2 linked regions of the Caenorhabditis elegans genome follow. The protein of the gene in region 1 interacts with the protein of each later gene in a pairwise test. Each region holds a gene or a part of one and is shown in the gene's direction. Other genes may lie near its edges. The genes, in order: F12E12.6 and coh-3.

Region 1 (3,425 bases):
AAGAAATAGAGTTCAGTATGTATGAGAAATCAGTTCTACAATAACTCAATTTCTCTAGAGCTTTATTTTACATAAAATTTGAACAAAATTTGAATAAAACAATAACTAAACACCTATAAATTATAAAACTATGGCATGCGCGGATTTTGGAGGTGGAGTGGTGAGCCAGAAGAGTTCTAAAAAAACATTTTCTTGTATTATTTTAGATTTTGAACTTTTCCAACTCACCACTTTTTCTTCACGACTTTTGCTGCTAGTTCCGGGCTTTCAAGTCTTTAGCCAGACGTAAATGCATCCCCGTATTCACTATCATTGTGTTACATTGGAAAGTGTTGGAAGTTCGGAAGGACTCTCTGGTTGCGGAAAGTTGTTAGAAAAATGCTCGACGATTCTGTTGACTAGCTCAGTGTCGGCGGGCTCCGCAGTTCGACAAAAGAGCTTGAAGAAGATGCTGTAGATTTCGAGCTTGTTTCTCCAGATCTGAAAGACAAGAAATTGGAAAGAAGAGTTCGGGCGTTTGAAAAAAAAACCTTAAAAAATTAACTCACACTATGCTTCAACTGAGCCACACAATCCTGAAGCAGGTCCAGCTTCCCAATCAAAGTTTCAATTTTCTCCAAATTCTTGTAGCAGTCCCTTTTCAGCTGTTGCTTTGCAATTATTTCCCATATACAACTCTTTGAGCTTCTTCCCTGGGTAGCCAAGAGATTATCCAGCGTCTGCTGGGCTATTACAATGTCAAGCTGGTGCTTCCAAGACTTGTAGTTCATGGCTTCTTGATGCTTGTCCTTGAAGTTTTCGTAGATCTGATGATCATCTTGGATTTCAAATTGCAATCTCACATCCACCTCGATGCCTGGAGACTTTTGCAGGATTGCCTCCATAACTGCCACCGCTTTCTTCACAAAGTCTTCCACACTTTCAGGCACAATTTCTTGATTCAATTGCTCCAGACGATCTTTGATCGCACTTGTTTCGACAAGAAATCCTTCGAAAGCTGCCTTCTCGTTGTGATTCCGTCGAACGTAATTTGCAGTATCTTGGCAATTCCTTCTCCGTTTTTCTTATGCAGACATTGGGATTTTTACGTATTTACGGCCGGCTCTTCCATGAAAAAAGTTATTGCGGTCGAAAATGGTGATATCAAGCTTTTGAGTGGCTTTCTTCAAGTCGGCAAGGGTCTGGAAAGATTTAAAGTTGGAAATTTTGATAGGTAGGAGCTGCTTACCATAATTCTGTAGTTTGGAGCTGCAGGCATCGTGCTTTTGATCGCAAGTTATAATTCCTGAAAGAATTAAAGTTAGAAGACTTTCTAGATTGACAACAATTTTAAGAAAAGAAAAACTACTCAGAAATGTTGTTGTAAATTCGCCCCGCGGACAGCCGGAAGGCGTACAGATCGCGTCTTATTTTGGCGGTGGCGGCATAATAGAAGGTGTTCGTGTTCATGTGTTTATGTATTTCTCGTCTAGCGTCCTCTCACTTTCACACACACACACACTCTCTCTCTCTCTCTCCGCTCACAGGCATAATACCGCGTGTTAGCTGGGTGTCACTTTATCATATCCGACTCTTGTGGCAGCCTTCTTTTGTTTTTTTTTCTTTTAAAATCCAAGTTTACTCTACCGTACTCTGAATTTTCAGAAACTTCGCACAGTATGACTCCAGCGCCAAGTTCTTCCTCCAGCCAACTCCGTAAGTTACCACACCGGAATTTTTTTGAAAAACTTTAAATTTTCAGATGAAGTGAGCAAAGTCTCGAAGGCAGTTCAGGAATGAGAAAAGTGTCACACACTCAAGAGTAACTTAGAAATCAATAAAATTTAAATCAAAAATACCTCAAATTTTCAGAGAAATTGCACCACGAACGTCGTCGTAAAGCGGAAAGTGACAACCAACGGAAAATCAAGGAATTGCAGAATGAAAATGGTAAGTTTTTGAATTTTGGATACTTTCTTACCTAATTGTCTACCTGCCTATCTCCCTACCTACCTGTCTACCTACCTACTACTTACCTACGTACATACCTTCCTACCTACCTACCTTACCTTGTGCCTACAAAAACCTACTCTCTGCATTTTGACGTAAACTCAGGCACAAAGAGGGCACATACTCCTGTGTCTTATTGTAAGTGGCAGGTACGCCTGTGGCAAGGCAAAGAGGCAGGCAAGCATACATTACATTAAAAATAGGCGAACTAGACTAATATTTTTCAATTTCAGAACAGCTCAAGCTCGATAGTGATGAGATGCGTCATGCTGCTCAGGTTCTAAGTAAATCAGCACCCTCTTGAAGCTTCAAGTTTCTCATTTATTAATTTTCAGAGAACGAAAACCAACAGCTCCGAGAGCAAATGAAGGAGTTCATCCATAGTAAGACGATGAGCATAATCCAGACACAAGCGGAGCTCCATCATTCCTTGCTTCTGAAGACTCGAGTCTTGAACAGAACACGTTAGTTGACCTTAAGTACACGCATATTATTGATTATTGATTTTTCAGAGTCCGACCTGGACAAATGCATGAAGCACAAGGAAGAGATGAGATCCGAAATGAGAAGGCTGAATCGAAAGCTCAAGAGAGCTCAGGAAGCCAAGCAGAACGAGGACTTGAATCTCAAATTTTGTTAGTTGTTCGGAAGATTTTTTTTTTTTGCATACTATAATTATTTAATATAATTATAATTATTAAAATATACTACAGTGCGTCCAACTTCTATAGCACCCCCCTCCAATTTGGCGGTTTGGAGCTTCTCAAAATATTTTTTGAAAAAGTGCTAGTGCAGTTTGATAGCAAATGTTGGAAAACCTATGCTCCCCAATTTTTATTATGATATCTCAAACACAAAAACACCAAAATGTTCAGACGGTTTCATTTTCACATTTAAAAAATAAATATAACCCCTGAAAACACGTGGAACGCCTAGGATTGTCCTGGAACGTTCGTATTTGCTTCATAAGCCATTTCTCGGCTCCCAATGACTTTCGCAGCACCAAACTTGACCAAAATGATCTTCCCCACCTATGTATTACTATTCAAATAATTGTTGAAAACATTTATTCATATGAACCAAATGGTAAAGGGAGCAACTGCAGTGATTTTCAAAAGGCTTGATTTAACTATGAAAACTAGCGTTTGGAGGAGCAGAGCTGAAGGTTGGTAATACATTTTCGACTAAAAATTACTAAATTAAAGCAAAAAAATAAAAATTATATTATGTGAACATCAAATCTGTGGAAATCCATGGATACATCAAATGCTAGACATCTACAATCACCGATTCAGGTTTTGTCTGTTAGCCTTTAGGTTCTTTGATCATAGAAATATTCAATGAGCAAATTCGCTAAATTTCAGTTGAGTTATAAATACAGCTAGAAAAATCGTCATTCAGAAAGTTATATCTTACTTTCGTCTTTAAAATTTTCG
Region 2 (5,144 bases), on another chromosome or scaffold:
GAACCAGCCTCTTTAGCACGATTTCCTTGTGCTCCTGATCGTCCGATATTTTCAGAACCAGCCAAGTCAACGAGATTAAGCTTTCCTTGCTTCACCAGTTCCTCGCCAGTGGTTGTATTCTCCCGAATGACGACATTGACCATGAAGAGACTGTGAGATCTGCTACTGTGCATGTTCATCAAAGTGGCCGCCGTTCGTCTTTTCTCAGCACCCAACTGTAGAAGTTTGAAGACATCTGAACGATTTCGCACAGGCACTTCTTCCACGCCCGAAACGATTACTCCCTTCTTGTTTGGATCATCAAAAATGCGAAGGCGTTCACGATCTTCATTATCCGTCGAAGCCAAGAGATCGAACAGTTCTTCATTGTAGAGTTCGATGTAACTGACTCGAAGCGAATACTCCTCACAGCCGCATCTTTCCAACTGCTCGAAAATATCCTCAACGGCACGAGGTATGATTCCAGTCGTAGGGTCATCAGTTGAGCTTTTTGCGTCTGTTCTCCCTCCTTCCATTGTGAACGTTTTTCCGGTTCCAGTTTGTCCATAGCTGAAAATTACTATTATATTGAATATTATTGAACCGTCCTGTCTACTAACGCAAAAACTGTGCAATTAAATCCTGCGATAACCTTCTTAATTTGTGATGACACGAGGTCCGAGTAGATTTCTTCCTGAGTCGTGTCTGGGTCATAGGTCCGGAAAAATGGGCCAAATGACTTTCCCTTCAACTCGATAGCTTGTTTTCCTTTGTCCACTTTCACAACGTTGGTGCACTTTTCACTGCGCTCGGTGCCATTCATTGGCCTATAAAAGGGGCATATTTAACTGAAGTAAAAATAAGTTTAAAACTCACCGAATACGAACAGCGACTCGCAAATTGGACGTGGGCTCGGAGTGCTTCTTGCGGGATGCCATTGTCGAATCCAACTAAAAATAACTAATAAAAATTGTAACTAATAAAAGTGCAACAGGAAAATCAATTTGAAATACAATGATTCGCGGCGTCGTGCGATAGAGCGCACCCGCAATAAATGCATTTACCTCATGGGAAAGAAAGTAACCTGCAAAAATCTTACCATTTTAAACAACAACCCAAGTGAATCGAATGACTGAAAACGAAAAATTAGCAGGGTATTCGGCAGTAGCACAAGATTGAGACAAGAAGAGCAACAAACCGAATCAATAGAGAAATAAAAATGAATTTATATTTTTAGAAACGTGATAACTACATAAGTAGTGGTTAATTACTGTGATATATTTGGAGCGAGGAACAACGGAAAGGACACGCGAAAGCAAAGCATAATCGCAAAATTAAATTTTAAAACTTCTAAAGTTTTTAAAAAAATTTGTTCCTCATAATGCTTAAAAATCTCATCGAAAGCAAAACTATAAACATTCTAGAAATTAAAAAAAAATGGCGATTCAAAACTTCGCGGCTGAACATTGCTGGGTCCTGTCACGAAACAGCTAGATTTGATGTGTGCGCCTTTAAAGAAGTAGTACGGTATGCAATGGTCTCGCAGCGATCGAGCAAGCTTACGCGGAGTTTTCAAATTTATTTTTGGGGTTTTTCACTTTTTTATCATTTTTTCGTTTCTTTCGAGTATCTGCATTAAACATCTTTGCAGTTAAAAATTGCAGAAAGTCAAACGGGTAAGAAAGGTAACAATCAGCATGGTGATAAGCATCGATGTACCGCTCAAAGCGTCGGAGGAAGCGACTGTGAAGTTCCTATTGTAATAAAAAGTATTTTATGCCGGATTAATAAATTTTTTCTTGCAGAGGAATAGTTTTTGGTTCTCACAAGAAACTCGGCTTGCAATCAAATCGTCGTGAGTGCTTCAGACACGATGTTCTTCAAGCAAGCAAGCTCATTCAGTGGATTCTCAGTAACGAGAGGAAAAACAGAAGATCTCTCTCCATTGCGTGTAATTTGGTGTACGGAAACACCATAGTTCTCAGTACTCAAGTTGCTCGACTTCTTCGTACGTTGCCAGTATTTAAATTATCACTTTAACAAATATTACAGAAGATGCAATTCGTGCTCGAGAGATCGTCGCATTCACTTCGTACCTCGCGGAAGAAGATGAGAGGAAACGAAAAACTCGTGAACAGATGGAAGGTGACAACTCTAAAACACCAAAGAAGAAGAGAAGAACGATGGTTGAGGAATTTCCTCTCACTCCTACCCCGATCGTAAGTCTAAATGTTTCAAAAATCAAAATTAAAATAAAATCTATTACAGAGTGTGGCTCTAAAACAAAACATTACAATGCCAGATGTTCTCAGTCTTCACAAGAACGACCAAATTAACGTTGAAGACGATTTGGCTGCACCAACAATGGAACAACTTGAAATGATGTACGGGATGTTGGAATCAGAAAATCGGAACACAGCGATTGATTTGTAAGTTCTCTCCTTATATTGTTTGCAATATATATAGAATATTTCAGAACATTCATCGATCGATATTCCTCCAACGATTGCCGTCAAAATGTTCATAATCTGAATTTGGAGACTGATTTTCAACGCCCATCTGATGACTTTATCCGGAGCCAGCTCATGACACCTACCAAATCTATTCCACAAGGTTGATGATTAAAAATGAATTGTAGAAATATTGTTTTTTATTTATAGAAGAGGAATTTCAACCAGCCACACACCTGAAGGAAATGCTTCTTTTCCGCCAACTCCCCATCACACTAGACGAAACTGAGAGAAGAAGAAGCATGGAAGAAGAAATGGAGGAAGCGAGGAACTCTGGAATCGTATGTATAATATTTAAAGTCTTTAAAAACCGAATGATCATTTTCAGAACACCGAGTTTATTCCGCCACAACAAATGGATGTTCCACGACTTGTCTCGGAAAACATGGATCTAGATGACGAAGTTTCGATTCCAATAAGAATTCCCAAAGTTCCTCTTAGTGCTACAAAGAAACAAACGTCTGAGAACGAAGGAGCAGAAGAAGGGATCAATTATAAAATTCCATTAGTATGCGATCAAGATGAGAAAACAATATTATTCCGCTTTTTTCTTTTCAGAGAGAAATGCATCACATAATGGAAGATTATTCCAGTCTTCACTTCAAAGACCCGGAGCCTCTATACCGAAAGACAAGCAAAGTGATGAATTTAAAAGAGCTGTTGAACCCAATTCCTTACTTCCTTCGAAAAGGTGAGCACTTTTAACCGTTTCTCAGAATCTTTAGACTTTATTGACGCTCCCTGTTTTTATTGTAACGTTTCAGGATGCAATACAGACATGTGGGATCTGTTCAAGGTGAAAACGAGGAAGTTTGATTCCACAATTGGCCACGATGTATCTGATACTGAAGAAGAGGACGAAGACGAGGAGACTGAGAGAAGAAATCGACTTAAAGCTGAACTTGAGCCCTTGGAGACCATCGACTTGTCACAGATGAAGTTCATGACGACTCCACTGAAGGATAAAAGTCCTATGTAAGCATTTTACATAATCACCAAGCTTAGAGCACATGAGTAATTTTCAGATTGACTCCAGTGCATCGACCGGAAGAAATTGAGTTTCGTGAAGAGCTCGAACTTCCACGGTTTGAACAATTTGAGCCGATGAATGTGAATCCGATTTCTCCAAAGTTTCAGTTTGGTTTTTTGAGATTTTGAATATGATTTTTATGTTACAGAATGGAAGAGCCGGCGCTATTTGAAGACAACTGGAACTCCAAACCGACGTGGTCAAATACAAGTTCTGAAAACATTGCGGATGCGCTCACCATCCGTGGGAATATTATTCGGTAGGCTGAATAATAAGGTTGCATTATTTGTTCAAGCGGTTATTTTCAGCCAGCTGGATGATAAAAGCCCCTTCGAGGTCACTCTGGATTCGATGATCCCGGTTGCTGCGACATCTCGACGAGAAGCTGCTCGGACATTCTATACAGTTCTTGGTAGATTAAATAGTTTATTACGTCATTTTCAATATTTTGCGTGTTTCAGAGCTCCTCAAAGAACGCAAGATTAAGGCCACTCAACGTGCTCCGTATGAAAATATCGATTTGCTGCTATCAACGGATGATAGTGAAGATATCGACGATCTGGCAATGGCTGATTTCTAACTGCACACTTTTTCCTTTTTCTGATGTCCTCTTTAGATCTGCTAGTTAATTACTATTATTGTATTTTAGAATTTTTATCTTAGTAGTGTAGCTGCATTTAGAATCATAATTATTTCTCCCACTTGTAAAATCTTTCTGTCCATTTTAATTTTTTTTCCCTTCGTGGCTCTCATGTTCAGTTTCCATCGTGTCTCATTCCTATTCCCAGTTTTTTTCTAGATAAAAACTCATTTCGTTCGAAAAACGTTGTTACAGGTAGCTTTAAAGGCGCACACTTTTTCAGTCGTGTCAAGATCATATACATAAGTCGTGAAGTAGTGTTTTTCACAATCTTTAATTGCAAAAGTGCTTAAGTAGCTAAAATCGCGAAAAAATACGAAAAATCGCCTAGAGTTGCCGTAAAGCAAGAAATTAATTATCTGCTTGTCCGAGAGGAGTACACACGCGGGGGCGCTCATTTGCGCGCGAAATTCAAATTAAATTTACGGCGAGATTTTTTTCGGCACTGAAGGCTCATAACTTCCGTTACATTTTTTTGACATATCGATTTGTCAGAGCATAGAGAATCTTCTAAAACACAGTCTCAAATTCGACTACATCACCTTTACATAAATTGAAAAAAAGAAAGTATTTTCCAAAAAGGTAACTTACGTTTGACCGTGGTTATCTCTTATCTTAAAAGGTCATCTTTGCTGACTATAAATATTTGAAATTCCATCAGACAAATCAGTTTACTCGATTTTGTTCCTTTTGAACAACAATACTCGATGCCCAAGTCAAATAGAAGAATCGTTCGTGCAAGGGATTCAAAAGGACGCTTCCTACCCGGAAAGAAGGCCAAGTCTGTTGCCAGCAAGTCTCGTTCGAGATCCAGAAGCCGCAGTGTTGTGAGCCGTAAGACGACCCGTACCAATTCGTTGACTCGTCGTCGTTCATCGACGAAAGCTCCTTCGTCTGCCCGTCAATCCAGATCTCGCTCAAGATCTCGCTCAAGATCTCGCTCCAAATCCCGCTCCACGTCTTCCCGCCGTTCCCGCTCTCGCTC

Evidence for each region.
Region 2: the proteins of F12E12.6 (region 1) and coh-3 interact in a two-hybrid assay, tested with the Caenorhabditis elegans proteins (one large-scale study listed by BioGRID).

Annotation. Positions count from the first base shown.
Region 1 is NC_003280.10:3,735,167-3,738,591, reverse strand, and holds F12E12.6 (CCDC92 domain-containing protein), read left to right. Parts: upstream 1-1,648; 5' UTR 1,649-1,695; intron 1,696-1,741; 5' UTR 1,742-1,801; intron 1,802-1,851; 5' UTR 1,852-1,929; intron 1,930-2,222; 5' UTR 2,223-2,248; coding exon 2,249-2,273; intron 2,274-2,324; coding exon 2,325-2,453; intron 2,454-2,501; coding exon 2,502-2,629; 3' UTR 2,630-2,663; downstream 2,664-3,425.
Region 2 is NC_003283.11:14,455,799-14,460,942, forward strand, and holds coh-3 (Rad21/Rec8-like protein C-terminal eukaryotic domain-containing protein), read left to right. Parts: upstream 1-1,623; 5' UTR 1,624-1,676; coding exon 1,677-1,738; intron 1,739-1,784; coding exon 1,785-1,987; intron 1,988-2,031; coding exon 2,032-2,198; intron 2,199-2,247; coding exon 2,248-2,408; intron 2,409-2,455; coding exon 2,456-2,592; intron 2,593-2,639; coding exon 2,640-2,770; intron 2,771-2,817; coding exon 2,818-2,997; intron 2,998-3,047; coding exon 3,048-3,180; intron 3,181-3,253; coding exon 3,254-3,464; intron 3,465-3,514; coding exon 3,515-3,619; intron 3,620-3,667; coding exon 3,668-3,778; intron 3,779-3,827; coding exon 3,828-3,931; intron 3,932-3,980; coding exon 3,981-4,099; 3' UTR 4,100-4,343; downstream 4,344-5,144. Other genes in the region: bmk-1 (Kinesin-like protein), read right to left, coding at 1-549, 600-806, 856-929, 1,079-1,081; F08H9.2 (SPerm CHromatin enriched), read left to right, coding at 4,867-5,144.